Macaca fascicularis: one gene and its partner. The protein of the gene in region 1 purifies or fractionates together with the protein of each later gene. This does not show direct contact. Links are inferred from orthologs where the notes say so. Each region holds a gene or a part of one and is shown on either strand. Other genes may lie near its edges. The genes, in order: PLN and ATP2A1.

Region 1 (16,873 bases):
TACATCTCATAAAAGCCTCTCTCAACCTGTTAGCCCATTCCTGAGAGAGGAAAGTGCTGAAGGGAACAGAAGGAAGTACTGAAAGAATGGCAAAGGGGAAGGTAGGTATCAGGCCTGACCAGTTAGAACCCAACATTTACTTTTACAGAGAAACCGTATGGTTTATGGTGTTTAGATTCTGTAGTGTTCAATAGTTCAACTTGGCTCTATTATATTCTGAATTATATAGTAGACTGGGCCTTTTTTGGCTTGAGACTCTGTCCTCCTTCATAATATTGGTCTGTAGCAAGGAGTTCCAAAAAGCCAACTTCTATCAAATTTTCTTTCCTTAAAGAGTTATTAACAACCTGTGTTTTTCTAGCATGTATTCTTCATTGTCTAAACGGTGGCTAACGGCTGTTATTTAGGTTGTCTGTAACAATTCTACTTAGAAAACAGCAGCTTATAAAAACAGAACTGCCATTTGACCCAACAATCCCGTTACTGGGTATATATCCAGAGGAGTATAAATCTTTCTGCCATAAAAACATACACGTATGGATGTTCATTGCAGCACTATTCACAATAGCAAAGACATGAATCGGCCTAAGTGCCCATCAGTGACAGAGTGGAAATGTGGTCATATACACCGTGCAATACTGTGCAGCCATAAAAAAGAAGGACATCATGTCTTCTGCGGGAACATGAATGAAGCTGGAGGTCATTATCCCTAGCAAACTAACACAGGAAAAGAAAACCAGATACCACATGTTCTCACTTTTAAGTGGGAGTGAGATGATAAGAACTTATGAACACAAAGAAGGAAACAACAGATGCTGGGGTCTGCTTGAGCGGGGAGGATGGGAGGAGGGAGAGGAGCAGAAAAGATAACTGTTGGGTACTGGGCTTAATACCGGAGTGATGAAATAATACACACAAACCCCCATGATGTGTGCTTACCTATGTAACAAACCGTCACACATACCCCCAAACTTAAAAGTTAAAAAAAAGGAAAACAGCAGCTTAAACTTGACGTATATTTAATGATGTTTGTTTGAATTCTTCAGGTAAAATAGAAATAGATTTTCTTTCGTTCTTTATTAAGATTCATCCTTTAAGTTGTTTCTGTTGATAGTTGATTATTATAGATCTAGTGGATTGGAGAATTACGGGAAGATTTTATTTATTTATTTATTTTTTTGAGACAGAGTCTCGTTCTGTTGCCCAGGCTGGAGTGAAGTGGCGTGATCTTGGCTCACTGCAAGCTCCACCTCCTGGGTTCATGCCATTCTCCTGCCTTAGCCTCCCAAGTAGCTGGGTCTACAGGTGCCTGCCACCATGGCTGGCTAATTTTTTTGTATTTTTAGTAGAAACTGGGTTTCACCGTGTTAGCCAGGATGGTCTCGATCTCCTGACCTTGTGATCGGCCCGCCTAGGCCTCCCAAAGTTCTGGGATTACAGGCGTGAGCCACTGCGCCTGGCTGAGTAGTCACCTTTTATGAAGATACGTAGCATAATACAGAGAAGAAAGGAATAATAATTAGCCTTGGTAATTCCTATTTGAATATATGGTTTTGTGAGGTTTTTGGGCTTAGCTGGTCTTAAAAGGTCAGAAATTTAAAAAATTACTTTGAGGCAAAACATGGGAAAGGAGGGAGTTGGCCAGGAGTTTATCATTAAGCATATATACAGGAGTCATCCCCTACCTTGACACTGATAAGTTGTACTTCAGTCACATGAAACATGTCACCTTTCCATAAATACTCCATTCGCTTTTGTGATTTTATTCTTTGCACATGTTGTTCTATCTCTGCCTGGAATGCGTCCTCCACCTTTTGATTCTCTGCCAGGCAAGCTTCAGTTGATTGTTAAGGTTCAGTTTAAATATCACTTCCTGATGAAACCTTTCATTAGTTATTAGGGTGGAATTGGTTGTCACCTCTACTGGTTTTTAATAGGGCTTTAGTGTTATCTATATGAGGATATCTATCAGATTATAGCACAATTTCAGTTTACATGTTTGTATCCCCAACTAGACTTGATAGTTTCCGAAGTAAAGAAACCATGTGTTCATTTAGTATCCTAGTACTTAGTGCATAATTGGTATGTTTCAATAAATCATTAAAGTTAAATAAGGGATTTTTATGACTAAAACTATTAGAAAATTGTAAATAAAAAATAATGCTGTGGGCAGGTCACGGTGGCTCACATCTATAATTCCAACACTTGGGAGGCCTAGGCGGAGGGAACGTTTGAGCCCAGGAGTTCAAGACCAGCTTGGGCAACAAAATGAGACCCCATCTCATTTTTAATTAATTATTTTTATGAATGGATGAATGAACGACAGGGTCTTGCTCTGTCACCCTGGCTAGAATGCAGTTGTGCAATCATGGCTCACTGCACCTCAACTTCCCAGGCTCTAGTGATCTCCCTGCTTTAGCCTCCTGAGTAGCTGGAACCACAGATGGGCACCACCATGCCTGGCTAATTTTTGTATTTTTGGTAGAGACAGGGTTTCACTGCGCTGCCCAGGCTGGTCTCAAACTCCTGAGCTCAAGTAATTCCTGGGATTACAAGTGTGAATCACCATGCCTGGCCCTCATTTTTAATAATAAGTTAAAAAATTTTAAAAATAATGCTGTGATTGGCAGATTAGTTCTAATAACAATTTGTTAGTTGAACATGTAAGCTCTAATATTCTCCTCAAGCCTCTTTCTATCACAGATGAGAAAAATGAGGCTTAGAGGATTCACCTAAATTAATGGTCACCTGATTAACATAATATTAACCTGAACTAGACTTTGTATAAATGGGTTTTTAGTATTTGTGAAATACAAAGATGTGCCTGAAAGAGATGAGCTCTCTGCTGTTTAAAGCATAATTAACATACTTTAAAGATGATCTTATAATCCTACAACAGCTAACTGTTATTGAAAAACAAGAGTTGGTTTCTGGAAACAAATTGGGTATAAAGGAGATGACCAAAAATAGTATCCTGTTTCTTGTCAGATTTAGAAATATGCTGTAATCCTAAAGTTATTTGTAACTGCTTTATAATTTTATGCCTAAACTGAAAACAAATCTGCTTTACATGCTAAAATGTTAATGATACACATTTAATTTATTGGGCTCAATTTTTTACAGTGGTATAATCTGAAATGTGTGGAATCCTAGTTCTATTGAATACCAACATTTGTATGATGATAATTAGGCCAGATTTTGTCCATAGAAGATGGGGTTTCCTGTCATATGTTGAGAATTGAAAACCTTTGTGTGGGAACAGCATAATCCTATTTTTAGAGTTGTCTGTGACCTTTACTACATTATAATTCATGGTTGTCAGATGTTTATCATTCTCTTCTCTGCACTGACAACCACCGTATGAGTTTCCTTTTTTTTTTTAAAAAAAAATAAATTTCTTAACAGCCAAGCTGTTTAATAATTTTTGATGGAAAGCATAGAAAAATAGTTTAGTTTTATTTTCATGTTATCTGATCTTTTTAGAGCATTCTATTAGTCTAATCATAAATAGTTTTGGGATTTTCTGAACTTGTGTCTGGCCTAAACAACCATGGAAACTGAAGTTACTCTCCATCCTCTTATTAAAAGAATGACTATATATATATATATACACAGACACATACACACATATAAATTGGTTGTTTTGACACAAGAGTGGTATTCACTTATAGATGAATTTTAAAATCAATTTATCTTGTAGGCCCTAGAATCAAGAGTATTGAAAACATGAAAGGTGCTTGTTAGGAGTTTGGGTGTAGAAATGCCAGACTCCTGTCTCTTGAGTTGCATGTCAGAGGCAGAAAAGTATCCACAGAGTATCTTATGTCTGTGGATCCATGATTACTCTACTTTTTAGGAGAATGAGAAGAATAAAAATAAAGAACTATTCTTTGTGGGATTTATAAATCCTTTGATTGTTTTCTTTTCCTCAAGAAAAGTGACACCGGAAATTTAAAAAAACAATCAAGTTCAAGATAGTATGGTTTTTTGTTTTTGTTTTTTTTTTGGGTGGAAGAAGGAAATAGAAAAGCCATTAGGCAACTCTAATCTTTTGACTAATGTTGTATACCATGTTAGGCAGCATGTTTGGTGGAAGGTACTATATATCAACTCCTTCAGGAGTCCTTACTTTGTCTGCAGTGAGTCCTGTTGTAGCAATATAATATCAAATGCATTCTTGTGCGGAAGGAACCTCAATAGTCTTCTGAAAACTTTTGGTGGCCTGCTTTATGACTTGCTAGACAATTGATGCTTTAATGATGTTGTATATGCTGAGCATTAATCCCCACCTATACTTTAAGCATGTTCAGTGCTTGCGGAACTTCTCAAACTTCAGCATTTTTGGTGATATGCCTTTTGCTGAAATAATAAATTCCTGGGATTCTTTATATTTGTAGAATTTAGAATTTTGCTTTTCTCCTTTTATTTTTGTTTATTCTTTTACTAAACATGGGATTATTGAAGCAATACTTTATTAAATTGAATTCAAGTAATATCTAAGGCTACAGTCTGATATACTCTAGGATGTTTTTTCCATCTGTTTGGTTTAGAAGATTAGAATTTTCTATAGATTGAATTTGAATGAACAGGGCTTGTCTATATTTGGATTATTTGGAATTTTATTTTATTTTTCTACTACTTTCTGACATTTCCACAGGTAAACGATAAGTGAACGTGTATACACCCTTTTTTGGACTTGTGGTAATAAATTAGGACAGTTCATCATTAGATTTATGATGAATCTGTTGGCTTACAAAAGTTCACTCCAGTGGAGTCATTTTCCTTTTGAGATTGCCTAATACTAAACTTGGACATTCTGTTTGAAGTTACTTTGTGGTAGCAACATTCCAGAGCTTTGTTGGTCCAGACTGGCCGTTTGAAAGAATCTTCAAGCTGCTTCTGTCTGGTTATGAAAATAATTGTATATGCATAAAAATCAATATATTCTCACTCCTAAATTGACCCGTAATGAAGTGCTCCTCATGTTAAGTCTTGAGGAGAATTCATTAAACAACAGCACAGAGAGATTTTTCTCTCTGAAATTGACAATTTAGCTTATTGCTATTGCTACAGTGTCTGTAGGTTTGCCTTCATTATTGTTTTTTAAATATTGAAACAATGCTTTACAAGTTTATTTACAAGTAAAATACTCTTCTTAACCCTGTAGGAGTTGGAACTTCAGAATCTTTTTGGGGGGAAGAGAATATGGGGGGGTAGTATTGAGAAAGGCTTAAGGAGAAATGAATGTCACTTAATAAATGTACCCCCTATTAATGTGAGTGTATTGGTCAACCTTTTTTTTGCGGGGGGAGCAGGGGATGGGGGTTGAAAACTAAAGATGGAGTACCTTTTCAAAGGCACTAGAGGTCCTCAGTTGACTATGAGTATGCTGTACATCCAGGCTTCATTTTCATGTGTTTATTTGGTAACACATGCTTCAGAATTATTCTGGGTAAGAACTTTGATGTGCTATTTCTGCAAATATACAAAGAGACTACATCTTATCTAATTTATGCCACTGTAATTTAGAAGGATTATTTTCTTGATTTTTCTACCTTTAGGTTTACTTTGCTAGTATGATCATTTCTTTGTTAATTCACAGTTTTGATGAAAGTTAGGGATTTTTGTAGCAAATAACAAAGCAAGATTGATTAAACATGTCAAAACAAATAGTTTTGGATATTTAAAATGGTAGAGTATGGGGAGGGGTAATTCAGAAATAAAACTGAGGAATGCTGAGGACTGAGGATTTAAAAGGGAACCTAGAATAAAGTATCGAAATGTGGTTTTTGTGAAAGTTTTGAGGAGATATTAACTTGGATTTTAGGTATCAGATGAATTGAAGGCATGAGTATTTTAGCAATGAAACAAATAAAAGGAAACTTTGATTGATTGGGATATGTTACGGTTTTTTGAAGTCTGTGCAGTTAGTTTGAATTTTATCTAACTGCAGTTATTTTGCTTAACAACTAAGGACATCTGTAATGTTCGTATATTTCTGGTTTTGAAAATGATCAGTAGAATATAATTTAGGCTATTAAGAATGTAATGCCTGATGTACAAATTGAATTTAAGTGAAATGGAATGGTTTTAAATTAAAATAGAAGTTTGTATTCTCTGAATTTGCCTTTTAGAGTATCATTTACAGTGTTTGGGGGCTTTCAAATTTGGTTTATCAGTGTCACAATTTACTTCAAGCCATGCTGGTCAATATATAGAGGATGTGCATGTGGCTTAGTGACAAAACCTAAACTTCTGCTAAGGTTTCCCTGTTTTCTTAGTTATGTGATCTTGAGCAGTTCACCTTTTTGCATCGTTCCTAAATTGTAGAATAGGGATGCAGTATCAAATATATAATTAAGAGGACCAAATAAAATATTTGTGTACACCAGTACATTAGGAAATTGTTCTTTAAGAAGAAGTTTTAATTGGCCCCCCTCATTTCTGGGATTGGTAATATATTGTCTAATTTAGAGAGGTAACTAGACTTTAAAATTTGTTTTTAAATTAAAAATTTAATATATTACATAATTTAGTATTACATGTGTAATTAGTACATTAAAACATTAAAATACATTAAAATTTTCTGAAACCATTGTGTTTATGCAATATTTTCTTATTGTTTCTTAATCTCGCTAATTAAAGATATGATTATATACCCAAATGCGATTATTTTCCTTTATGCCTACTAAAATACAAATAAAATAGATTTGATATTTGATTTTGGGAAATGATAGTGCTGTCACGCCTTTTAGTAAAGCATGTACTCTGACTCTTTCATGTGTTTATAAAACTTAACACTTCTTAATTTAAACATTTTATATTTTTCCCATTTATTTCATCTAACACTTTTTTAAGCACTTATTTTTAAACCACATGTCTTCATAAACAAAGACAATACTTAACTGGCAACTTAAGGTATAGATGAACTATTTGGGACATAATGTATGGTACTACCACATTATGTTTGAAATTTTAACGGTCTCTGTAACTGGAATTTCTGTTAACTGAGACATACTAGTGAGCTAAGGGTAACTTTAATAGAATTTCTGCTCTATCCAGAGGTTGTGTACTTTTTAGAGCAATATGTGATAAAGCGAAATTCTGATACAATAAAATAACTCATGAACACCCAATTTGAAGTGTGAGAATGTAATTTGATATTTGAATAAAAATGCACAAATAAGCATATAAGACACCTACACTGAATGACTTTTGTGTAATAGCAAAGGAAAATTATGAGTATAGAGATATGGAGATGCAATTAGGATACCTCAATGGTAGACAAAAATTATGTTTTTGTATGTCTTAAGGAAAACCGCTTACAGAATTACAAAGTTCGTATTTGTAGTGAGCAAGAGAGTTAACATTTGTCATGGGAATTGAGAATTTTAGAGGTAAATTTTAACATATATATAAAATATGAAAGTTAAAATAAATAAAATATATGTAATTTTCTGTAAGCCCTGACAGAGATCTGAGAATGAGGAAACGTTTCATTTACTAAATTGAGGATTGTAACTTAAAGAATAGGGTAGAATTCAAACGGAAGTCATAAAATTGATTGTGGCATCTCCATTCCTGGCATTTATTTTATTTTCTCCTGTCTTTCTAAATCTCAGAGAGGAAATGGAGTAACACTGGAGGATAATAACTTGACAAAATTATAGGCATTAATAGGCAGAAATCCATTTAATCAAATTTGTGTGAAAATAAGATACTTAAGAATATTCATGTGTCAAAATAACTTTTTAAAGTGTCTATTCTCTAACAGATTTTTGTGTGTTTGTGAAAAGTGTTTTAAAATTTCTAAACTTCTTTATGATACAATATTGAATTTAATATCAGTAACTCAATTTATTAACAGCATGGAATTTTTAGAAATGTTTCTTAAAAGGTGACTGGACTTTAGAGGGGAAACATCCTCAAGGGCACTTTAAAAGTAGCTTGTATTATATATTCTTAAGCTCCATTTCATTATTATTCACTGTATGAAATTATGATGATATTGCAGTAGGCATGCTGATAATATGCATGTTTGTAGTCAAATGACTATTCATATTAGTTCAAATGTAAATAACTCAGTTCTGCACTGTTTCTCAGCAGAGCAATAAATAACAAAATTAAGTCATTGTTTTTGTGTGGAGAAATTAAACCACTGCTGCCAAATATGGTAACATAATTGGAAGATTTTTTTAATTGGCAGAAATTCACATTTGAAAAGCAAAATAAAAGTGAAAGTTAAATTAAAATGACAAACAAATAACCAGGATCAAAGATGAATATGACCTTTTTCATTTCAAAGTTGTCTCATTTTTACTGTCACTAAATGGATAAGCATTTATAAATTTAAGCACTTTGTCATGTCATTTTATTGCTTAAGTTTGAACTGATATTAATAAAAGTAACTTATCTTAAAAGTTCAGATTATAGAAATTATAGGAATTAAAGAATTACAGAAAGTAAGAATTACCAAAGTCAGTGAAATCTGTTTCTTACCTTGGCTGCTGTGATCATCACAATATAGAGTATTGTGTTGTATGAAGTCTTATGGGTATTTAGCTGGGGAGTTTTCTGACTCTGTCACCCGGTTTATGGGAACAGTTGCAGTAGGTGGAGGAGAAAAAGTGTTCTAGGGAGGTCTTATGATGTCACATAGGAATTCTGAAGTTTCGATTGGTTAGCCATAGTCTTAGTCTCAGCACAACCAAACTTTAGAACTTCTTACTTTAGGTATGGAAAAGTCATTAACACTTTGTGCTTCATCTTTTGTTTCTAATTTAAAACAGTATATGGCAGATAAATGAAAAAACAAAGTAAATTTGAGGTGGTAGAAAGCTTTTGTTAAAGATTCATGCATCTTCAGGCTTAGAGATAATTGAATATTAATGGTGAAGATGTTGAAGAGCCAAAATAGTTACTACAGGAATTTTAATTATGAGAAAAATAAACACAAGTATAAGCAAAACAACTTTCATTGAATTCTTGCTGCTGTTGCTTTAATACCACGTCTTCATAATGTTAGCTTTCAACAAGACAATAGTGAAATATTTTTACACAATCAAATTTTATACCTATTTTCTTATTTTGTTGTGTGTATGGAAGAAGGAGTGTGTATGAGGAAATCAGGCTAGTAACTGCTTTTTGTTTTAAAAAATGATTTTTATCTTACAGTTAAAGAACTAATAAATGTATTTAATTCATTTGTGTTTTCTTCAATTAGCAGTTTAACAATATATTTGTGAATGGTAATTCTTATATTTAAACTGATACATATAATCCCCCCCAAAATAACAATATGCTACTTTTAAGTATTTAAGATTTTTTTAAACAGTTGCATTAAATTGTTACACAATCTTAATAAATTTTTTATAAACAGATGCAGTATTAAGGGCAACTTTATAGCAAAAAAGAAATAATTACAGATTCCAAATCAGTTACATATCAGTTAATGAGGCTTTATAGGTTTGATGTGTTGAAATTTAAGTTTTGTAATGTTTTTAAAAGGATGTGCCTCATTTAATCTAGCAGGTGCTTTCCTGAAAATTACTATACAAATGAGATACTAGTAAGTGAGGATATTTTGAACTTCCTAGAACAGTTTATCTTACAGTAGAAATGGGGAAATAATTTTTTTGTAAAGCCGGGCATCATTCTCCTCTGTTTATCTAATTTGTTGTCTTACATGTCAGATTTACTTAAGTCACCACACTTGAAAATATTAATTCTTAAATCTCTTCTTTAATTTTAGAGGAGGTACTTGTAATCTTTAATTTTTTAAATGCTTATGACAGAGTGAACTTAGCCCACTTCACTTTCTTATGGGTAACTAAAATGTGTAGCAGCAGCTGCTTATGTGCCCTTAAATGGAGATGATCTTGGCTTCTTCCAAAGAAAGAAAATCCATCTCTAGAGCAAATCATTTGTTATTTAAAGAATCAGCTTAAAACTAAGTGAAAAATAATATTTTAGCAAAGATACTCTGTGAACATTGCCAAGGGAAAATTTACAACTTAAAAGTAAAACCCAAGTTAAGGAAATCGCATGAATAATGTTTGTTACTTTTCTTAGTGCTACAACCATTTTTCTTTCAATCCTTACATAATGAGGATCTCTCAGTACCATCAGTTACCAATGATGATTGATAATATAAAACCTAGAAACCTAAAGAGGTTTACAGTAATTTGTCAGAGATAACCAACCGCTAAAGAACAGACTGAGGATTCAAATGCAGATCTGTCTGTTTATAATTCCTAATCTATTGGCATATTGTGGGAAAAAATTATAATTTGAATATAGCTTTCATTAGAGTAGCCTATAGTAACTAAGAAATTTTTGAGATGAAAATAGGTGCATTCTTGAGCACTGTTAATAGTTTTAGAAAGTCTGCTTTATGTTTGTCTACCAGTTATACATTCATTTGAAATTTAGGTGATAGATCATTGTTCTAAGAACTTCTCATTCTAAGAAAATGGAATTAGTAATACTTAGTTGGATAAACCAAGAAGCTGCCATAGATTGAATAAAATATGCCCTAGTTACCACGAGTTTACAAGTTTACTTAAAAAATATACATAGGCATATATACACCTTAGAAGGATACTAACAACTGTGTGTGACATAGTTGGAAAATGGATTCAAAAAATTAACTTTTATATTGGTATAAGAGTGGGGAGTTTTTGTGTTTACCTTTTTCCTTTGGGTTAGCTAGTGAAGATGTCGATGATGGTGATCCCACGTGGAACTCTAGGAAGTATTATATTTTCATTTTAACTAAACATTGTTTTTATTGCCCAAACAGAAAGTTGTTTAATAGGAGTATTAATGAGTTATAGTGTTATCAGTAGACTGTTCCTCAATGATTCCTCAACTAGAGGCTGGAAATTTTTTTTGAGGTGCTTTGTCGCAATCTTCATTTGGAGTCACTATAGTTTGAATGTATTTTTGGTCACATGACTTTATACAAATAACTTCCTTAAGCAGCTTAATCTGTGCAGTAGTATTTGTGATGGTTTAATGACACGAAGTGTACATAGTGATTATCAGAGATCCTGCAACAGTGTTCATTTAGTGTTAGTACTTATTTTCTTTTTTCCTTTGGAAGGTGGATTCTTTTTTTTTTTTTTTTTTTTTTTTTTGAGACAGAGTCTTGCTCTGTCACCCAGGCTGGAGTGCAGTGGCCGGATCTCAGCTCACTGCAAGCTCTGCCTCCCGGGTTTACGCCATTCTCCTGCCTCAGCCTCCCGAGTAGCTGGGACTACAGGCGCCCGCCACCTCGCCTGGCTATTTTTTTGTATTTTTTAGTAGAGACGGGGTTTCACCGTGTTAGCCGGGATCGTCTCTCGATCTACTGACCTCGTGATCCGCCCGTCTCGGCCTCCCAAAGTGCTGGGATTACAGGCTTGAGCCACCGCGCCCGGCGGAAGGTGGATTCTTAAGGATAAAGTGTCTTTGAACTTGGATGGGAAAATAATTACAAATTTATTTTTACTAAGCTCTAAATGGAATTTAGTATTTCCTCAGTTTTAACTGAATCCTGGGTTCATGTCTTTACTTTTGTTTTTATATAGTTTTGTAGCATTTTAAATGTATTCCTCAAAAGTATTACTAATTTTTTTTTTTTTTGAGGCAGAGTCTCACTCTGTCACTCAGCCTAGAGTGAATGGTGTGATCTCGGCTCACTGCAACCTCCGCCTCTCGGGTTCAAGCGATTCTCCTGCCTCACCCTACCAAGTAGCTGAGACTATAGGCATGTGCCACCGTGCCCAGCTAATTTTTATATTTTTAGTAGAGATGGGGTTTCACCATATTGCCCAGGCTGGTCTCAAACTCCTGACCTAATGATCTGCCCACCTCAGCCTCCCAAAGTGCTGGGATTACAGGTGTGAGCCACCGCACCCGGCTGTGTTACTTTTTGTAAAGGACACTGTGACGTACGTAGTAATCTTTTATGTTGAGTATTTAAACTCCAGTCTGTAGTGGTGTATCTGGAGGGTAAAGAAGCTTCAAGATAGAACAGTTTTTTGGAAATTTTTGACCAGAACTTAATTTAAGTGATGACTAAATTAAAGCATTTTAATATTTAGACAGATATACAGTAAAATGCAAGCTTCAAATCAATTTTTGTGTTGCCCACAATACATCAAAGATAAGGAGTTTTTTTAGATTAGATCTCCTAGACACCCAGGAGGAAGATTTTACCTAGCTCTTGAGGGTACTTGAGGGCTTGATAATTACCATCTTAAATTTTTAAGCTACGTAGGGGGAAGGACTGGTTCAAAAAACATCTAAGCAAAACTGCAAATGAGAATAGTGGTCTGAGATTGAGAGGATGGAAATTCTCTTCCTAGGGCAACAGGGAGGAGGAAATAAGATTTACTCATTAACTGGGGTGGGGAGCTGTGAATACAACCCAATGATAAAGTAACCTATAAAGCTTAGGGGTCATTTTGGGGAGCTAGTTTCACTTTTCACTTGATTTGCCAGATAATCTGGAGACCCAAACATTTAATTTTTTCATAAATATCTGAATTCTGGACAAATTCTCTTTCCTTATCTTGATGAGGGGTGGAGAAGAGAGTCAAGAGGGGCCAGATGGATTAAGAAAAGGACTCATATAGGTCTACATAATTTTTGGAAAGTTATTAAACATTCCAAGTGATAGAAATGCTATAGCATGCTACGTGGCTTCAAGGAAATTGTTGTTTATCAGTATACAAGTAATATGGAAATGAAAATTTAACATGTGGACGGTAACCACTAGTGCAAGATAACACCAGGAGAAAAAGAAATTCCCAATTGAGAGTCAAATGAGCACGTGTAATAATAAGCAGTATGACTTCTAAGAGAAGTGTATGTTTTGTACAAAGGAAACAGAACCAAAGCCAAAAATAACAAAGGGAAACACATACATCACAAAACAAATTTAACAACAAAAACCAACCCTTAGGTCTCCAGATACTTGCTTCAAAATTCTATAGAGTCCAGATCATGATGCTGTTACATTGTTAAGAAGGTTCCAGTTCAATTTAATGGTTGTAGTGTTTCTCCAGACACATTAAATTTCTTATCTTTGTGGTTGATATCTCAGCCCTTTGAGCTCCTCGCATTCGCAAACTTTGTGGTGGCACCATCACTGATTTTGATACAAAATTGAAATTGGAGGCTCATACCTTTTCTGGGTTTTACCAGACTCCCCATTCACTTAGAAACCAAATGCAAATTGTGAAATATAAGTCTTTGTTCTCATAGCCTGACCAACTGTCCTCTTAACTTTCATAGAGGTTTATTAACTAGTTTTTCTACCCTCCGTCATGACCCTTTCCTACTCAGTTTTTACTCTGATATCCAAGTGCACATCTGATTGTCATTCATATGCTAAGAACTTTTCATTGATTTCTCTTTCAAGATGAAAAACCCACTCTTTACAGAACTACAAAAAAAAACTCTTTCCTGATCTGTCCATTGCCATGTATGCCTCCCATAACGATTTGACAACTCTGCCATTATATGTTATTTCTTCTATCTGAAATATTTTCCTTACTGTCTTGTTCTTACGGAACTCCTTCATTATTCAGAATTAGGTGGGGAGAAGCCCTGTTTTGCTTGTTCTTAATTTCTAATTATATAAGTAATAAGTGAATATCTCTTATAATTCAGAAAAATCAGATAAATCTGAAGTCGGAGGGGGACTTTCTATATTATATAGGTATATTTATTTTCTTTGTCATAAACTTCATGAATAGAGACTGATTTATTTTTTCTAAGCTCTACACACTGCTTATCCCTTAGAAGGCTCAATAAGATATTTTTATAGTTAACGAATATTTAGAATATTGTTTTTCCATTACAAGTGAACTCATAAAAAGGGTAAGTTGAAAGAAGAGAGAATAAAGGCCCTCAGAAACTTAGATAAACTAATTTTCTTTGTCCCTAATGATTGCCTCTGAAAATATTTTTCTAATATTTTCACTTAATTCTTTAACTTGTTCACACTTTGACATGTGTGTAACATCAAAAAACAAAATTTCAACAAATTGAGTCTAATTATCTAATTGGCTTTGATTAATGATTCATGAATTGGGCAGTATCTCTATCATAGGCCATCAGATGAGCTAAGTGGAGGAGGTGGGCTTTCTAGGCAGAAAGAGGCTAAAGAAAGAAGGAACAAAAAGTGAATTGGTTATTATAAGTTACTTATAAGGTTAAAACAGACTTCTTTATCATGCTAATTCAGGTAAATTGGGCCCTTTCTGATTGGTTGCTGTGAATATCCTGTTGTTTTTGGAAAACTTGCTGATGTTGAAGTTCAGTTTGATTATGTGGCTCCCAGCAGGAGTGGCTCCATTCTTGTCTGGTCTGGTCTGTTAAGACTGAGTTCAAAACAAACCAGAGTGACTCCATTCTGGTTTTGTGTGGGCAATTAAGGCTCAGTCCAAAACAATGGCTTTCCATAGTTTTGTTTAACCATAAGAGATTTCTGGAGTGATTGTAGGTTGGTCAAGGAATATTAATAAGGAGTTGAATTGGAACTGTCATTCTCATTTTTTTGTCCTCTCTCACTACCTTACTCTATGATTTTCAGAAAATAAATCTTTCTGTACTGTAGTTTTCTCATAAATAAATGGATGGCAGATTGAATTAATTTCTAAAGTCTCTTTGAAGCCTAAATGTTCTGATTATACTAAACTAGCTTGAAAAATGTTATTTTTAAAGTAGCTATTAATGTTAGCTAATTTTGTTAAAATAATTAAACATGTACATTTCACAAAAAGTCAGTTTTTAATTCATTTCTTTAGTTAAACTACTGGTTTACTGGTTGTCAGGCACTTTGTTAGGTAAGGAATGCAGTTAAAAAAAAAGGTCCTTGTTTTCAGGCATGTTAAGCTTTCAAAAACTCTATTAAAAAACTCTAAAACATCACCTGTTCATTGAAGAATAATTTTAAATATGTTTGGGTATTTTTATGTGCTATTTATTAAAAATATATGTTACAAATTTTAATAACTTATTTTTACTATGTAAATGTGAGTTTGGCGTATAAATACACCATAATTTGTGATTATCTTATTGCATATCAGGGGATATAATTTTTGCCATTATAAACCTTAAAAAACAACACTATGATTACCATCTATGTAAATAAATCTGATAAATTCTCATTCTTCTTCTGTTGGTTCTGTAAGCTTGTTATTCCTAAACATTAGTGCATATAAGGGTGATCAGGCTCGTGAATGAATTTGATTTGTATTTGAAATGTAATAATTTTTGAGATTTGGTCAGTTACATTTCTTTATAATTAGAGAAACTTCTTTGAGAAAATGAGCTAAAAATACACATTTTTGGGGTGAGAATTAAACTCTGAATTAGTAAACATCCTGAGTGACATGACTGTACCAACTAAGCAACTAAAGAAATTGCACTTTTAGTTTAGATCAAGTGGCTTTTTGATCAGTGCTCCTGCTGTAAGGATGAGGGGAGGTAATCCTACCTTAATGTAGATCTGAGCTTTTATTTAGAGACTTTGATAATATCAACATTTAAGATAGGTTCTTGATTGCTTCAGGTGAGAACCTCTAAAACATAATGGCTTCTATGCTTCAGTTACACAGCCCTCTTTAAGTTTGTAGAGTAAAATTACAACTGACCCTTGATTTTTCAGCATAGATACATTCTTGAGAAGGTTATGAAAATAGATTTTGATATGTGGAATTCATATTTACTTTATAAAGCAAAAGATGTAAAAATGTCCTAGTGGAAATAAACCCAACTTCCTAATATGTAAGCATTGTAACTTTTTGCCAGCAACTTAATTGAGCTACTGAGAGTTGTACATGGTTTTGCTATATTTCAGGAAAACTGTACTTCATCCTTAACTCATCTCCAAATTAAAAGCTTGCATAGCATAGCAAAAGGACATGAACATCTCATCATCTGCTGATTTAATTTGCCCTTGAGTTGGTCAAAGATGATGAGTGGGCTCCAGGACCAACATTAGGATCAGGAGGATGCCTTCGGCAAAGTCATTTATAAGGCTGCCCTGTTAATGTATTCTTTTCTCAATGGACTTATTGCTTAATTGAGGATACTGTGGAAATCTGAAAAGTTGATTGTTGACTCCAGTATTAATACATTGATTTTTTTCCCCTTAGCTAACTTGAAAAAATAACCCAAAATTCAATATTTGGATGAGTATGAGTCCATATAATGAATGTTAGACAATAAAAATATGCTCTTGAAACTTCACACTTCCAAAATAGAACAGAGTATGGCCATTGAAGACTGTCTTTCAAATTTATGTCTATATTGTAGCAAACTAAAATTAGTTGTGCAGATTAGTCGAAGTTTCCTAGGTCTGACTGAAATGAGGCTAGACCTAAAGGGTCAGAAAGCATGATTTATTTATTTATTTGTTTATTTATTTTTGAGACGGAGTCTCGCTCTGGAGTGCAGTGGCATGATCTTGGTTCACTGCAAACTTCGCCTCCCAGGTTCAAGTGATTCTCCTGCCTCAGCCTCCCTCATAGCTGGGAATACAGGTGTGCGCCACCACGCCCAGCTAATTCTTGTATTTTTAGTATAGAGACGGAGTTTCACCATGTTGGCCAGGATGGTCTCAATCTCTTGACCTTGTGATCCGTCTGCCTTGGTCTCCCAAAGTGCTGGGATTACAGGTGTGAGCCACTGTGCCTGGCCAGAAAGCATGATTTTTAATCAAACATAGGTTTGCATATGATCTTTGAGCTATAATCTTTTAAGTGTAGATATTTCTTACTATTACCCATATCATTGCTAACAAAATGGTAACCTTCTGTAGAAATCTCCAAATTTTCATATCAGTCAATAGTTAATAAACATTGTCAGGTGCTGTGCT
Region 2 (16,172 bases), on another chromosome or scaffold:
CTCTAGGGTGAATTCCTTCTTCATTAGCTGGCGGATCACCTGGAGAGGAGACAGGGAGGGGAGACCAGGTCTCTTAAAAATGGTCAAAAAGAATCTGGAGGTCAGAGCAGACCCCAAGCTAAGGCTGAGACGAACGCTAAGTCTGGTCCCTACAGCACAAAAGGAGAAAATCCCAAGGCTAGTGTTGCCATGGTGCTTCAGGGTCCCAGGTTAAAGCACAGGAGAAACAGGATGGCCTATTGTGGCACTGTCCCATAGAACTTTCATTATCGGCCAGGCACGGTAGCTCATGCCTATAATCCCAGCACTTTGGGAGGCTGAGGCGAGTTAATCACTTGAGGTCAGGAGTTCGAGACCAGCCTGGCCAACATGGTGAAACCCCGTCTCTACTAAAAATACAAAAATTAGCCGGGCACAGGTTTCAGTGAGCCAAGATCGCGCCATTGCACTCCAGCCTGTGTGACAAAGCAAGACTCCGTCTCAAATAAAAGAAAAAAAACTTTCATTGTTTGTTTATTTTTATTTACTTATTTTTTCTTTAGAGACAGGGTCTTGCACTGTCTCCCAGGCTGAAGTACAGTGACGTGATCATGGCCCACTGCAGCCTTGGCTCTGGCAATCCTCCTGCCTCAGCCTCCCAGCCAGCTGAGTAGCTGGGACCACAGGTGTATGCCACCACTCCAGGCTAATTTTAAAAAAGTGTTTTAAAGATAGAGTCTCCCTATGTTGTCCAGCCTGGTTTCACTCCTGGCCTCAAGCAATCCTCTTGCCTTGGCCTCCCAAAGCATTGGGATTACAGGCATGAACCACCACACCTGGCCCTATAACTTTCAGTAACGATAGAAATGTTCTGTGATCTGCACTGTACAATTGGTACAACTGAGCAATTGCTGTGGAGCATTGGAGGTGCTCTGTATATTATTTAATTTGAATTAATTTTTATTTATTTATATTGAGATGGAGTCTTGCTCTGTTGCTCAGGCTGGAGTGCAGTGGCGCAATCCTGCCTTAGCCCCCTGAGTAGCTGGGATTTTAGGCACACGCCACCACGTCCAGCTAATTTTTGTATTTTTTAGTAGTAGACCAACCTGACCAACATGGAGAACCCCCGTCTCTACTAAAAATACAAAATTAGCCGGGCGTGGTGGCACATGCCTGTAATCACAGCTACTCGGGAGGCTGAGGCAGGAGAATCACTTGAACCTGGGAGGCGGAGGTTTCGGTGAGCAGAGATCACACCATTGCACTCCAGCCTGGGCAACAACAGCGAAACTCTGTCTCAAAAAAAAAAAAAAAAAAAAAAATGAAGGCCAGGTGCAGTGGCTCACGCCTGTAATTCCAGCACTTTGGGAGGCTGAGGCAGGAGGATCACGAGGTCAAGAGTTCGAGACCAGCCTGACCAACATGGTGAAACCCCATCTCTACTAAAAATACAAAAACTAATTGGGTGTGGTGGTGCATGCCTGTAATTCTAGCTACTCAGGAGGCTGAGGCAAGAGAATTGCTTGAACCTGGGAGGCGGAAGTTGCAGTGAGCCGAGATCGCTCTACTGCACTTCGGCCTGGGCAAAGGAGAAAGACTCTGTCTCAAAAAAAATAACCTCATCTCTACTAAAATACAAAAAGTTAGCTGGGCGTGGTGGCTTGCATCTGTAATTCCAGCTACTAGGGAGGCTGAGGCGGGAAAATTGCTTGAACCCGGGAGGCGGAGGTTGTGGTGAGCTGAGATCGTGCCACTGTACTCCAGAATGGGGTGACAGAGCAAGACTGTCTCAAAACAGACAAACAAAAAGAATGAAAGCCTTTTTCACCAAATGTATCATGGATACTTCTCCAAAAAACAAAACAAAAATAAAAGGAACAGAAAATCAATAGCCAGGAGAAGTGGTGCATGCCTATAGCTTCATCTACTTGAAAGGCTGAGGCAGGAGGACCACTTGAGGCCAGGAGTTAAAGGCCACAGTGCGCTATGATCGCACCTATGAATAGCCATTGCACTCCAGCCTGGGCGACAGGCCAAGACCCCATCTCAAAAATAAATAAATAAAAATTTATGTTTGCATTATAATTTATAAATTTTTAAAATTAATCCTCTATTGATAGGTATTTAAGTTGCTTTCAGTTTGTTTGTTTATTTTTAAGACAGGGTCTCCCTCTGTTGCCCAGGCTGCAGTGCAGTGGTGCAATCACTGCTCACTATAGCCTTGACCTCCTAGGCTCAAGCAGTCCTCGCACCTTAGCCTTCCTAGTAGCTAGAGGACAGTTTTGTACCACCACACCCAACTAATATTTTTCTATCTTTTTTTTTTTTTGAGACGGAGTCTCACTTTGTTGCCCAGGCTGGAGCGCAGGGGCACAATCTCAGCTCACTGCAAGCTCCGCCTCCCGGGTTCACGCCATTCTCCTGCCTCAGCCTCCCGAGTAGCTGGGACTGCAGGCACCTGACACCATGCCCAGATAATTTTTGTATTTTTAGTAGACACGGGGTTTCACCGTGTTAGCCAGGATGGTCTCAATCTCCTGACCTCGTGATCTGCCCGCCTCGGCCTCCCAAAGTGCTGGGATTACAGGCGTGAGCCACCACGCCTGGCCCTTTTTTTTTTTTTTTATTTGTAGAGATGGGGTCTCACTGTGTTGCCTAGGCCGGTCTTGAACTCCTGGGGTCAAGTGATCCTCCCACCTCAGCCTCCCAGAACGCTGGAACTACAGGCGTGAGTCTCTGTGTCTCACCTGCTTTTTTGTTATATTAAATAAAGTAGCAATGAGCATTTTGTATATACAAAAAAAGAGAGAAACGTGGGGAATATAATTCACCAGAGAGAGGTGCTTAATGGAGACGTTCAGCAAGTATCAATAGCAATAACTGGGAGTGACAGTCCCAGAAGTGGCTGAGTTCATCTGGGCAAGGAAAGGCTTTCCCTGTAGGTGCAGCAGCCACATTTCCTAAATCCTAAGTCAGGACTCATGATCTGCTGAAAGCAAGTGTGCTTCTAGAAACAAAGGGATAACAGATGAAGTTGGGGCTGCTCCTGGATGGGTCCCTTGTAGTTTCCGTGTCCAGCTTTGTCCACTTCAACTCAGGACACAGCAGGCAGAAGTGATCATAGATCCATCAAGGGCATAGCTGCCAGGCAGCACCAGGGACAATGGGTCCCACCCACATCAGCCTGCGGAGAAGCTGTGGGGGGCCGTCCACTGCCTGGGTGGGGTCCCAGCACAGGCACTAGGCTCTACCCAGTCCAACCAGGGCCTCTGCCTTCCTCTGGTCTGTGCAGCATAGAGTGGAGATGGCCCTGTGGCAGGGGCTCTGCAGGCTCACCGAGTTGCAGGCGTTGGCTCTCTCCACCTTCGAGAGGCTTCTCACATCTGTGTTGAATACATTCATCTTCTCCACCAGGGTGGTGAGTGCTGTCTCGGTGGCCTCGCCAACCTTCTCATAGACACCTTTGGCCTGAGATGGGCAGAGGAGGAAGAGGAAGTAGGTGCCCCAGGCTCCCACCTGTCACACCCACCTTCCACCTAGCGTAAGAAGGAAGCAAGCCACTGCCTCCCTTGCACGCTGGCAGAGGACTGGGTGTACTGGGTCCCCTTCCTCCAACCCTTTCCTCCTGGCCTTCAGAGGAGGCTCAGACTCTGAGCCAACTGGAAGGGGAAGGAGAGGTTACCTCGTTGAAGTCCAAGGAGGAGTCATTGCAGAGGGCACAGATGGTGGCCAGCTCCACCAGCCCGTCATACTGCCCTGGCCGGACTGGCTTATCATTCTTCAAGCTGGCAGCAGGGTCGGAGGAGGAAGGGACAGAGACAGTGGAGAAGAACAGGGAATGAGATGCAGAGAGGGCACAGGAAGAGCAGGCAGCCGAGGGTCAGGAAGGACAGTAGGGAGAGCCAACTTGGATATCAGGAGAGAACAAGGTCAGGGAGGAAGGGGAGAGTGAAAGGAAAGCAAAACCACATGGAGGGTCCCAGGGAGAAAGGGGGTGTGGGGAGGGGCGTGAGGAGCTGGGGAGAAGTTGCCTGGGTGACTTACACCTCTCCCTCTGGAGCGTAAGTGGAGCCGGTGATGGAGAACTCATTCAGGAGGCAGATGTCCCCATCCACCTTATCAATGATAAACATCTGCAGGGGAGAAGGGCAGGCACACAGATGTCCACCTCTCCCCATCCCGAGGTGGGCGCCTGCATCAAAGGAGGCCTGTGCTGCCAACACCTACCCTCCCACCCTCCTACTCACCCCTCCCTGTCCCCCACCCCCCATATACCCTACCCACTTCCCACCAAGCTGTTGCAATCATTCTCCATCAAAGCCATAAAACAATCGTTACTGAGGCTGGGCGAGGTGGCTCACACCTGTAATCACAGCACTTTAGGAGGCTGAGGCAGGTGGATCACCTGGCAGGAGTTCAAGACCATCCTGGCCAACATGGTGAAACCCTGTCTCTACTAAAAATACAAAAATTAGCCAGGCATGGTGGCACGCGCCTGTAATCCCAGCTACTCTGGAGGCTGAAGCAGGAGAATCGCTTGAAGCTGGGAGGCAGAGGTTACAGTGAGCCAGGATCGTGCCATTGTACTCCAGCCTGGCAACAAGAGCCAAACTCTCAAAAAAATAAATAAATAAATAAAACACACGCACACACACAAACAAGAGTGACTGCAAGCTATGCTGGAGCTTCTGTAGATCAGTTAATAAAATAAGATGGAACACAATAAGGTGTGGTAGGGACTGTGGAAAACGGCCGACCTATTGGCACCTGGACCGTCTATAGCTCCAGCTGCACGTGGCCAGATCTTCCAGTTTTGCAGGAAGAGCTAGAAATTCAGGTTATCTTCCTGTGAAATCTCTTGACTTTTTCTTTCTTTCTTCTTTTTTTTTTTTTTTTTTTTTTTGAGACAGGTTCTTGCTCTGTTGCCCAGGCTAGAATACAGTGGTGTGATCATAGCTCATTGCAGCCTCGACCTCCCAGGCTCAAGTGATCCTCCCACCTCAGCCTACCCAAGTAGTTGGGGCCACAGGCACATGCCACCATGCCTGTCTCTCTCGCTCTCTCTTTTCTTTTTTTTTTTTTTTTTTGGTAGAAATTTGGTCTCACGGCCGGGCACGGTGGCTCAAGCCTGTAATCCCAGCACTTTGGGAGGCCGAGACGGGCGGATCACGAGGTCAGGAGATCGAGACCATCCTGGCTAACACGGTGAAACCCCATCTCTACTAAAAATACAAAAAAAAAAAAAAAAATAAGCCAGGCGAGGTGGCGGGCGCCTGTAGTCCCAGCTGCTCGGGAGGCTGAGGCAGGAGAATTGCGCGAACCCGGGAGGCGGAGCTTGCAGTGAGCGGAGATCTGGCCACTGCACTCCAGCCTGAGCGACAGAGCCAGACTCCGTCTCAAAAAAAAAAAAAAAAAAGAAATTTGGTCTCACTATGTTGCCCAGGCTGGTTTTGAACTCCTGGGCTCAAGTGATCTTCCTGCCTTGGCCTCCCAAAGTGCTGGGAGTACAGGTACCCACCATGATGCTGGGAGTACAGACAGGCAACCACCATGCCCAGCCTCTTGACTTTCAAAAATATGGGCAATTCTTTTTTTTTTTCTTGAGATGCAGTTTCACTCTTGCTGACCATGCTGGTGCAATCTCGGCTCACCGCAACCACCGCCTCCCGGGTTCAAGTGATTCTCCTGCCTCAGCCTCCAGAGCAGTTGGGAGTACAGGCAAGCACCACCACACCCAGTTAATTTTTGTATTTTTAGTAGAGACAGAATTTCGCCATGTTGGCCAGGCTGGTCCCGAACTCCTGACCTCAAGTGATCCACTCACCTTGGCCTCCCAAAGTGCTGGGATTACAGGTGTGAGAATTCATTCATTTTTATGAAACATGACAGGAGCCGAGTCACACGAGTCTGTGGTCTGGCTTTGTGGCCTGTGCGTTAGAGGGATGTGGAGAACGCAGTGCCCAGGAGGAGTGGCCTACCCTGAACCCTGGGCAAACGCAACAGAGACTGGGCTTTTCATTCCCGAGAAGAGAGATTGTTAAGATGGGTTCCAAGACAAAAAAGTTCTGTGGTCAGAAAAAACTTGGGAACCTCTGGGTTAAACAAAGCAGAATCCGTCTTCTTTACACAGTCAGCCTCCTCTAAGGCTTTCAAATACCAGCAGGCGTTACGGGGCTCTCCCAGGAGCCAGGGTTACAGCCTTTCTCGCCCTGATCTGACCACACAGCCCTTGCTTCTCAGAACAGCAATTTCTAGTTCATGGGTGTAGTCTTCCACAAAACTCTGTGTAGGGCAGGGGTTCTTGGCCTGAGGTCAGTGGAAGACCCCTCAAGGAGCCCAAGAACTGAGACAGCCAAGAAAAAAATGACAGCTTTTCTTGTTCTCACGCTGACATTTGACATTTCCTTCCAGTTATGCATGTTGTCAACAGACCACATTAGTATTAGCAAAACCTGTGACTGTCACCAATTTAATCACAGATACTTTCCTCCTATCACATTACCGCTGTTGCAGATCTCTCAAAATAGCATAATTTATGCTCACCACTGCTTCAACATTATGATAGTGCTTAGACCCACTGCGAGAACTCCCTATTTAATGCCTTAATAAAGAAGCATGTATGTTGCCAAATTACAAAGTTGTTTTTAAAATATTTTGATAGAACTATATTTCACAATCATTGATTTCCTCTGTAACCCTATGTATTTTTCATATGTATTTTTATATTTTTTACTTTGTTATTTTCATTTTTTAATTATTATTATTATTTGAGACAAAGTCTCTCTCTGTTGCCCAGGCTGGAGTGCAATGGTGCGATCTCAGCTCACCGCAACCTCCGCCTCCTGGGTTCAAGCAATTCTCCTGCCTCAGCCTCCCAAGTAGCTGGGATTACAGGTGCCCACCACCATGCCCGGCTAATTTTTTGTATTTTTAGTAGAGACGGGGTTTCACCATGTTGACCAAACTGACCTCAGGTAATCCGTCTGCCTTGGCCTCCCAAAGTGCTAGGATTACAGGTGTGAGCCACCGCATCTGGCTACTTTTTTTTTTTTTTTTGAGACAGAGTTTTGCTCTTGTTGCCCAGGCTAGAGTGCAATGGCACAATCTCGGCTCACCGCCTCTACCTCCCAGGTTCAAGTGATTCTCCTGCCTCAGCCTCCCAAGTAGCTGGTACTACAGGCATGTGCCACCACGCCCAGCTAATTTTGTATTTTATAGAGACAGGGTTTCTCCATATTGGTCAGGCTAGTCTCGAACTCCTGACCTCAGGTGATCTGCTCACCTCGGCCTCCCAAAGTGCTGGGATTACAGGCGTGAGTCACTGTGCCTAGGCTTTTTTATTTTTTTTTGAGATGGAGTTTTGCTTTTGTTGCCCAGGCTGGGGTGCAATGGCGTGATCTCAGCTCACTGTAACCTCCACCTCCTGGGTTCAAGCGATTCTCCTGCCTCAGCCTCCTTAGTAGCTGGACTACAAGCATCCACCAACACACCCAGCTAATTTTTGTATTTTCAGTAGAGACGGGGTTTTGCCATGTTGGACAAGCTATTCTCGAAATTCTGACCTCAGGTGATCCACCTACCTTGGCCTCCCAAAGTACTGGGATTACAGGCGTGAGCCACTGTGCCTGGCTTCCTATGTATTATTATTATTTTTTTTAGATGGAGTCTTGCTCTGTTGCCCAGGCTGGAGTGCGGTGGCACAATCTCGGCTCACTGCAAGCTCCACCTCCCAGGTTCACGCCATTCTCCTGCCTCAGCCTCCCGAGTACCTGGGACTACAGGCACCTGCCACCATGCCCAGCTAATTGTTTGTATTTTTAGTAGAGACGGGGTTTCACCTTGTTAGCCAGGATGTTCTCGATCTCCTGATCTTGTGATCCGCCTGCCTCTGCCTCCCAAAGTGCTGGGATTACAGGCGTGAGCTACAGTGCCCTGCCTCCTATATCTTTTTAAAACAGAATCCTGGCCAGACGCAGTGGCTCACTCCTGTAAACCAGCACTTTGGGAGGCCGAGGCAGGCAGATCACTTGAGGTCAGGAGTTAGAGACCAGCCTGGTCAACATGGCGAAACCCCGTCTCTACTAGAAATACAAAAATTAGCTGGGCGTGGTGGCATGTGCCCACAGTCCCAGCTACTTGGGAGGCTGAGGAAGGAGAATTGCTTGAACCTGGGAGGTGGAGGTTGCAGTGAGCCGAGATTGTGCCACTGCACTCCAGCCTGGGTAACAGAGTGAGACTCCATCAAAACAAAAACAAAAACAAAAAAACCCAGAATCCTGTGTTGTTTATTTATTTTTTAATTTTCTATTTTATCTTTAAGAAGATGTGGTCTCACTGTGTTGCCCAAGCTAGTCTAAAACTCCTGGGCTCAAACGATCCTTCTGCCTCAGCCTCCCTAAGTGCTAGGATTACAGGCATGAGCCACTGTACCTGGCCCTATTTTATTTTATTTTTTTATGTGTGTGAGGGTCTCGCTCTGTTGTGCAGGCTGGAGTACAGTGGTGTGATCACTGCTCACTGTAGCTTTGACCTCCTGGCTCAAGCAATCCTCTGGGTTGAAGTGATTCTCCTGCCTCAGCCACCTGAGTAGCTAGGACTACAAGTGCGCACCACCACATCGGGCTATTTTTTTTTTTTTTTTTTTTTTGGTAGAGATGGACTCTCACTATGTTGCTTAGGCTGGTCTCGAACTTCGGGGCTCAAGTGATCCCCATCCTCCCACCTTGGCCTCCCAAAGAGATTACAGGCGTGAGCCACCACCCCCAGCCTGTTTTATTTTATTTTATTTTATTTCTTTGCATTTCATTTTATTATTTAAGACAGAGTCTTACTCTGTCACCCAGGCTGGAGTGCAGTGGAGTGATCTCGGCTCACTGAAACCTCTGCCTCCTGGGTTCAAGAGATTTTCCTGCCTCAGCCTCCCCAGTAGCTGGGATTACAGGCACACACCACCATGCCCAGCTACTTTTTGTATTTTTAGTATAGATGGGGTTTCACCATGTTGGCCAGGCTCATCTCGAACTCCTGACCTCGTGATCTGCCCACCTTGGCCTCCCAAAGTGTTGGGATTATAGGCGTAAGCCATTGCGCCTGGCCTGTTTTATTTTATTAATATGCATTTGAAATATTATCCTGAGAAGAGCTCAACTGCAAAGGGGTGTGAGGCACAGAAAAGATTAAGGGCCACGCTTTAGGAAATGCTGTTCACGGTCAGTGTTGGCAGGCTGGGCGGGCCCTGTCATGAGTGACCATTCAGGAGAGCCATCCACTTCACAGGCAGAAGCTTTGGGGCCACACAGACTTGAGTTTGAAACTCAACTCTGTTACTTTTTAACTGTGCATCTTGGGGGAAGTCATGTAATCTCTGAGCCTTTTTCTCTTCTAAAAAAGGAAGTTAGGCTGGGTGCTGTGGCTCACACCTATAATCCCAGTACTTTGGGAAGCCAACGGGGGCACAACACTTGAGGCCAGGAGTTTAGGACCAGCCTGGCCAACATGGCAAATCCTGTCTCTATTGAAAATGCAAAAAAATTAGCCGGGCATGGTGGCAGGCACCTGTAGTCCCAGCTACTAGGGAGGCTGAGGCAGGTGAATCGCTTGAACCCAGGAGGCAGAGGTTGCAGTGAGCCAAGATCACACCACTGCACTCCAGCCTGGGTGACAGAGTGAGACTCTGTCTCAAAATCATAATAATTTTCTTTAATTAAAAAAAATGAAGTTAATGAGACCGTCCTCTGAATGGGCTATTGTGGGGGATGAGAGACAATGTGTGGCAGTGCCTGGTGCATGGATGGTTGTCAGAGTGAGCTGTCTGGCTGGGACACAAGGGTCCTCTCTGATCCCCTTCATGGCAGACAGGATGGTGTTCTACTGCCCTTTGAGCATTTTGCAGGCCCAGATGAGAAGCCAGCAGTGATGAAGGGAGACCTCTATCTTTGGAGGGCCCATTTTACCCCCACAGGCAGCCTTCTGACTGAGTGCGCTGCCCACACTGCTTCTGACCTTGCAGACAGACATCTGGTTGGTGGTGAGGGTGCCTGTCTTGTCGGAACAGATGACAGAGGTGCAGCCCAGGGTCTCTACGGAGGGCAAGCTCCTTACAATGGCATTCTTCTTTGCCATCCGGCGGGTACCCAGGGCCAGGCAGGTGGTGATGACTGCAGGAAGACCTGTGGGGAGGGAGGGAGGGCGTGAGGGAACCTGCAAGGGGAGGGAGGGTGTGGTCTGTAGTCTGCTAAATAGTAGCCCCCAGCTACTATTGGTGCACACCTGTAATCCTAGCACTTTGGGAGGCTGAGGTGGGAGGATCACTTGAGGTCAGGAGTTTGAGACCAACCTGGGCAACACAGCGAGACTCCTCTGATAAGATTTAAAAATTAGCTGGGCATGGTGGTGATTGCCTATGGTACCAGCTACCTGGGAGGCTGGAACAAGAGGATTGTTTGAATCCAGGAGTTTGAGATTACAGTGAGTTATGATTGTGATACCATGCTCCAGCCTGGGCAACAAGAGTGAGACCTTGTCTCTATTAAACAAACAAACAAACAAACAAACAAACAATAATGGTCCCTAAAGATACCAGATCCTAATCCCTGGAGCCTGTAAATGTTACCTTACTTGGAAAAGGGGTCTTTGGGCCGGGCGTGGTGGCTCATGCCTGTAACCCCAGCACTTTGGGAGGCCAAGGCAGGTGGATTGCTTGAGCCCAGAGTTCGAGACCAGCCTGGCCAACATGGTGAAACCTCGTCTCTGCTGAAAACACAAAAATTAGCCGGGCCTGGTGGCGTGCACCTGTAATCCCAGCTACTTGGGAGGCAGAGGCAGGAGAATCACTTGAACCCAGGAGGAAGAGGTTGCACTGAGCCGAGATTGTGCCACTGCACTCTAGCCTGGGTGACAGTGAGAGACTCGGTCTCAAAAAAAAAAAAAAAAAAAGGCCGGGCACAGTGGCTCACGCCTGTAATCCCAGCACTTTGGGAGGCTGAGGCGGGCAGATCACGAGGTCAGGAGATTGAGACCATCCGGGCTAACGCAGTGAAACCCCGTCTCTACTAAAAATACAAAAAAATTAGCCAGGCGTGGTGGCGTGTGCCTGTAGTCCCAGCTGCTGGGGAGGCTGAGGCAGGAGAATGGCATGAACCCGGGAGGCGGAGCTTACAGTGAGCCGAGATCACACCACTGCACTCCAGCCTGAGTGACAGAGCAAGACTCTGTCTCAAAAAACAAAAAAGAAAAAAATAAAAAAAAGAAAGAAAGAAAGAAAAGGAGTCTTTGCAGATGGGATTGCAAATGGGAGGAGAAAAGAAAGGCTTTCGTACCTTCGGGGATGGCAGCCACAGCCAAGGCCACAGCAATCTTAAAGTAGTAGATGGCCCCACGGATCCAGGAGCCCCCATGGACAGGGTCGTTGAAGTGGCCAATGTTGATGAGCCAGACAGCCACACAGATGAGGGAGATGACCTTGGAGAGCTGCTCCCCAAACTCATCCAGCTTCTGCTGCAAAGGGGTCTTGTCCTGTTCTGTGGCAGCCATTTGGTCTCGGATCTTCCCAATCTCAGTGCCCACGCCGGTGGTGGCCACAATGCCCAAGGCCTTGCCAGCTGCAATGTTGGTGCCCTGGGAAGGGAAAGAGAAGGCAGGGAATCAGGAAAGAGGTGACCTTCATGCCGCATTCCCCCACACCATCTCTTCTCACACCGCCATGTTTCTCTCCAACCCGGGCACCTGGCTTGACTAAGCGTGTGACAGCTGGTCCCAGATTGCTCACCGAGAAAAGCATGTTCTTCTTGTCCTGGTTGACAGCTCGGGGGTCAGGAACGGGCTCCGTGTGCTTGATGACAGATACAGACTCGCCTGTGGAGAAGGGGCCAAGGGGTTTTCAGATGACATCATGTCCTTCTCCCAGGCTTCCCACGCCTAACTCCCTGCTCAGCAGGACAGCTCCTGGTAAGGACCAAGTAGCCATCCTGGGGGATGTCTGGACTCTGGAAGAAGCCACTGAAGGCAGCTAGGAAGTCCATTGCTCCTTTTTTTTTTTTTTTTTGAGACAGAGTTTCGATTTTGTTACCCAGGCTGGAGTGCAGTGTCAAGATCTCAGCTCACTGCAACCTCTGCCTCCCAGGTTCAGGCAATTCTCCTGCCTCAGCCTCCCAAGTAGCTGGGATTACAGGCACATGCCATCACACTTGCCTAATTTTTTTTTGTATTTTTAGTAGAGACGGGGTCTCACCATGTTGGCCAGGCTGGTCTCGAACTCCTGACCTCAAGTGATCTGCCCACCTCAGCCTCCCAAAGTGCTGGGATTACAGGTCACCGTGCCCGGCCAGAAGTCTACTGCTCTTAAAAAGACCTTGAGCCGGGCGCGGTGGCTCAAGCCTGTAATGCCAGCACTTTGGGAGGCCGAGATGGGTGGATCACGAGGTCAGGAGATCGAGACCATCCTGGCTAACACGGTGAAACCCCGTCTCTACTAAAAAATACAAAAAACTAGCCGGGCGGGGTGGCAGGCGCCTGTAGTCCCAGCTACTTGGGAGGCTAAGGCAGGAGAATGGCGTAAACCCCGGAGGCGGAGCTTGCAGTGAGCTGAGATCCGGCCACTGCACTCCAGCCTGGGCGACAGAGCAAGACTCCATCTCAAAAAAAAAAAAAAAAAAAAAAAGACCCGAGCCCGGCTTGACCACTAACAAGCTGTGTGACTGATCACCTAACTTCCATGTGCTCCTCTGTAAAAATGGGGACAAGGACATGTACACTGCAAAACAATATATTGGGTAAAAATCAAATAAGTGGACATATTTGGAACCACACTTTCAACTGTCAAGCATGTTTCTGGGAGGAAGGGGGACCCACCCTTAGAACCATGCCTCCCTCACCCTAAGAGCAGGGACTCAGCAGCAGGCCTGGGCCAGCCTAGCCCTTGACCCCTGGGACCATGGGGAATGTTTTCTGCCTCCTCTTCGCTTCTCCCTGCCAGTGCAGAAACAGAAGCAGCTATGGTGGTTTTATAGAGACAGGGTCTTGCTCTGTTGCCCAGGCTAGAATGCAGTGGTGTGATCATAACTCACTACAACCTCAAACTCTTGGGCTCAAGTGATCCTCCCACCTCAGCCTCCCAAACAACTGGGACTACAGGTGTGCAGTACAATGCCCAACTAATTAAAGAAAAAAATTTATAGAGATGGGGTCTTGCTCTGTTGTCCATGCTGGACTGCTGTGGTAATCATAGCTCACTGTGGCCTCAAGCTTCTGGGCTTAGGCAATCCTCCCACCTCAGCCTCCCAAGTAGCTGGGACTACAGGTGCACATCACCACACCCAGCTAAGTTTAAAAATTTTTTTTTTTTTTTTTTTTGAGACAGAGTCTTGCTCTGTCGCCCAGGCTGGGGTGCAGTGGCCGGATCTCAGCTCACTGCAAGCTCCGCCTCCCGGGTTTAGACCATTCTCCTGCCTCAGCCTCCCGAGTAGCTGGGACTACAGGCACCCGCCACCTCGCCCAGCCAGTTTTTTGTATTTTTTAGTAGAGACGGGGTTTCACCGTGTTAGCCAGGATGGTCTCAATCTCCTGACCTCGTGATCCGCCCGTCTCGGCCTCCCAAAGTGCTGGGATTACAGGCTTGAGCCACCGCGCCCGGCCAAAATTTTTTTATAGAGATGGGGTCTCGCTGTGTTGCCCAGGCTGGTCTCAAACTCCTGACCTCAAGTAATTCTCCTGCCTCAGCCTCCCAAAGCACTGGGATTACAGGTATGAGCCACCACACCCTGCCTAGCAGCCATGGTTTCAGTGTATCTGAACCCCCTATCTTGTCATAGAATCTCATGTCTCCTCCCTGGAGGATTTTTTAGGAGGCTGAAGGAGACAGGACAGTTCTCGAGGTGTGTGTGACCCTATGTCCATGTGCAAGGGGTAGGCTCGCGGCTATCTAGAGAGTGGGCAACAGCGTCCAGCCTTCTCCCACTACTCATCCCATTTCAGGCTTGGGACAGATGGAAACATCAAGCAGGCTGGGCGCAGTGGGTGGCTCACACCTGTAATCCCAGCACTTTGGGAGGCTGAGGCAGGTAGATCACGAGGTCAGGAGTTCAAGACCAGCCTGGCCAAGATGGTAAAACCCTGTCTCTACTAAAAATACAAAAATTAGCTGAGTGTGATGGTGGACGCCTGTAATCCCAGCTACTCCAGAGGCTGAAGCAGGGAATTGCTTGAATCCGGGAGGCAGAGGTTGCAGTGAGCCGAAACTGCGCCGCTGCCCTCCAGCCTGGGTGACAGAGCAAGACTCCATCTCAAAAAAAAAAAGACTCTATCTCAAAAAAAAAAAAAAGAAAACATGTCAAACAGTGCTGCCACTGCCACAGCCACTGCTAGTGAGCCAGGGGGAGGCCCCAGTGCTGGTTTTTTTTTTTTGGCTTTTGCTTTTTTTTTTTTTTTTTGAGATGGGGTCTTGCTCTTGTTGCCCAGGCTGGAGTGCAGTGACATGATCTTGGCTCACTGCAGCCTCAGCCTCCTGGGTTCATGCCATTCTACTGCATCAGCCTCCTGAGTAGCTGGGACTACAGGTGCCTGCCACCATGCCTGGCTAATTTTTGTATTTTTTGGTAGAGACAGGGTTTCACCATGTTGGCCAGGCTGGTCTCTAACTCCTGACCTCAGGTGATCCACCCACCTTGGCCTCCCAAAGTGCTGGGATTACAGGCATGAGCCACTTTGCCCAGCCTTTTGTTTGTATTTTGATAGAGACAGGGTTGCCCAGAAAGGAGTGCAGTGGTGTGATCACAGCTCACTGCAGCCTTGACCTCCTGTACCCAGGTGATCCTCCCGCCTCAGCATCCTGAGTAGTCAGGACTATAGGCACTCAACAACATGCCCAGCTAATTTTTAAAAATTTTTTTAGAGACAGGGTCTCTCTATGTTGCTCAGACAGTGAGGGTTCTCTGTCTTTCCACTCACCTCCCCCTTGTTGCCTCTTCCTTCCCACATCCCACCCCCAAGCATCTTCCCACCCAGGCCAGCAGACCTGTCAGGATGGACTGGTCAACCCGCAGGGTGGTGGATTTGATGGCGAGGATTCGGATGTCTGCAGGGACTTTGTCTCCCACTGTGGAGAGAGTAGGGAAGAGGGAGGTCACTTGGGAATGGAATTTTCTTCCTTCCTAAGAAAAACCCAATCTGTGTCTGACTCATTCTCCTCATCCATCCTTCAGGTCTCAGGGAGGCTCCCAGGGCTTGCATCAGGCCCTTGGCATGAGCTCCTGAAGCTGGCAACCACCCATCGTGACACCCATCCCTTCTGCCCCCGTGTCCATGGCGAGCTGGAGTCTCATTCTGTTCTCAGGTTGGTCTTGAATTCCCACATCTCTTCCCACTGGCTGTGAGCCCTGAGAAGGGATGGGCAGGCATACTGCTCAGCACATAATACATGCTAAATAAATGCCCACTGAATGACTAGAGGCGAAATTAAGGACAGTCCAGCTGTAGGACAAGAAGCTAGAATTGAGAATGGGAGACAGGAGTGAGAAAGACAACGAGGAAAGGCAAGGAAAGAACTCAGGGAAAACAGGGTGTGTTAGAGAGAAGGGGTATTGGGGTGAGAGAATGAAGCGGACAGCCAGGGAAGGCAAGGAGAAACGGGAAAATATGGAAATTGAGAAAATCGAGGGCAACCAAGAGAACAGTGGAGGGCAAGGCAGGAGAGGAGTGAGCGGAAGGTATGAGTGGGCAGGACTCAAGGCAGCAGGGGGCGAAGGGTGGTAATGGAGGGGACCACATATCAGGAACCTGACAGCTGGGTCTGAGCATCTCAGGGAGGCAGGGAGGTGAGGAGCTGGGGAAAGTAAGCTGGGAACATGGACAAGACAGGACGGATGGGGCGAGAGAGAAGCGGGGGGGTGAGCAGGAAACAGGTGTGGAGGAGCAGGGCCGGCAGCACAGGCTGGAGAGTGAATGGGTGGAGGTGAGGCCGGGGAGATGCACAGGTGGGTTGACAGACACATGGAAACCACCTTGGGGGCGGCTGGAGAGGTGGATGCCCAGCCAGACTCAGAGACCTTAGGAGGAGCCTAAGAACCTCCCAGGGCTGCTGCCTAATTCCACACTGGTCCCACGGATGGTACTGGGGACCGGATCCAATCGCTTTCCTTTCCCTCTGTTTCTAAGGCCCCCTCCTGTGCCAGAGGAAATGGACCCAGGAGGGAGGA

The links.
Region 2: the proteins of PLN (region 1) and ATP2A1 purify together in Homo sapiens (affinity purification with western blotting, with the first as the bait; 3 studies listed by BioGRID). This does not show direct contact. The link is inferred for Macaca fascicularis from reciprocal best matches to the Homo sapiens genes PLN and ATP2A1.

What each region holds. Positions count from the first base shown.
Region 1 is NC_088378.1:22,477,940-22,494,812, reverse strand, and holds the start of PLN (phospholamban), read right to left. Parts: upstream 8,597-16,873; 5' UTR 8,500-8,596; intron 1-8,499. UniProt on the Homo sapiens protein: Reversibly inhibits the activity of ATP2A2/SERCA2 in cardiac sarcoplasmic reticulum by decreasing the apparent affinity of the ATPase for Ca(2+).
Region 2 is NC_088394.1:27,573,586-27,589,757, forward strand, and holds part of ATP2A1 (sarcoplasmic/endoplasmic reticulum calcium ATPase 1), read right to left. Parts: intron 15,074-16,172; coding exon 14,993-15,073; intron 11,836-14,992; coding exon 11,750-11,835; intron 11,599-11,749; coding exon 11,301-11,598; intron 10,152-11,300; coding exon 9,985-10,151; intron 4,116-9,984; coding exon 4,027-4,115; intron 3,768-4,026; coding exon 3,665-3,767; intron 3,451-3,664; coding exon 3,319-3,450; intron 40-3,318; coding exon 1-39. UniProt on the Homo sapiens protein: Key regulator of striated muscle performance by acting as the major Ca(2+) ATPase responsible for the reuptake of cytosolic Ca(2+) into the sarcoplasmic reticulum.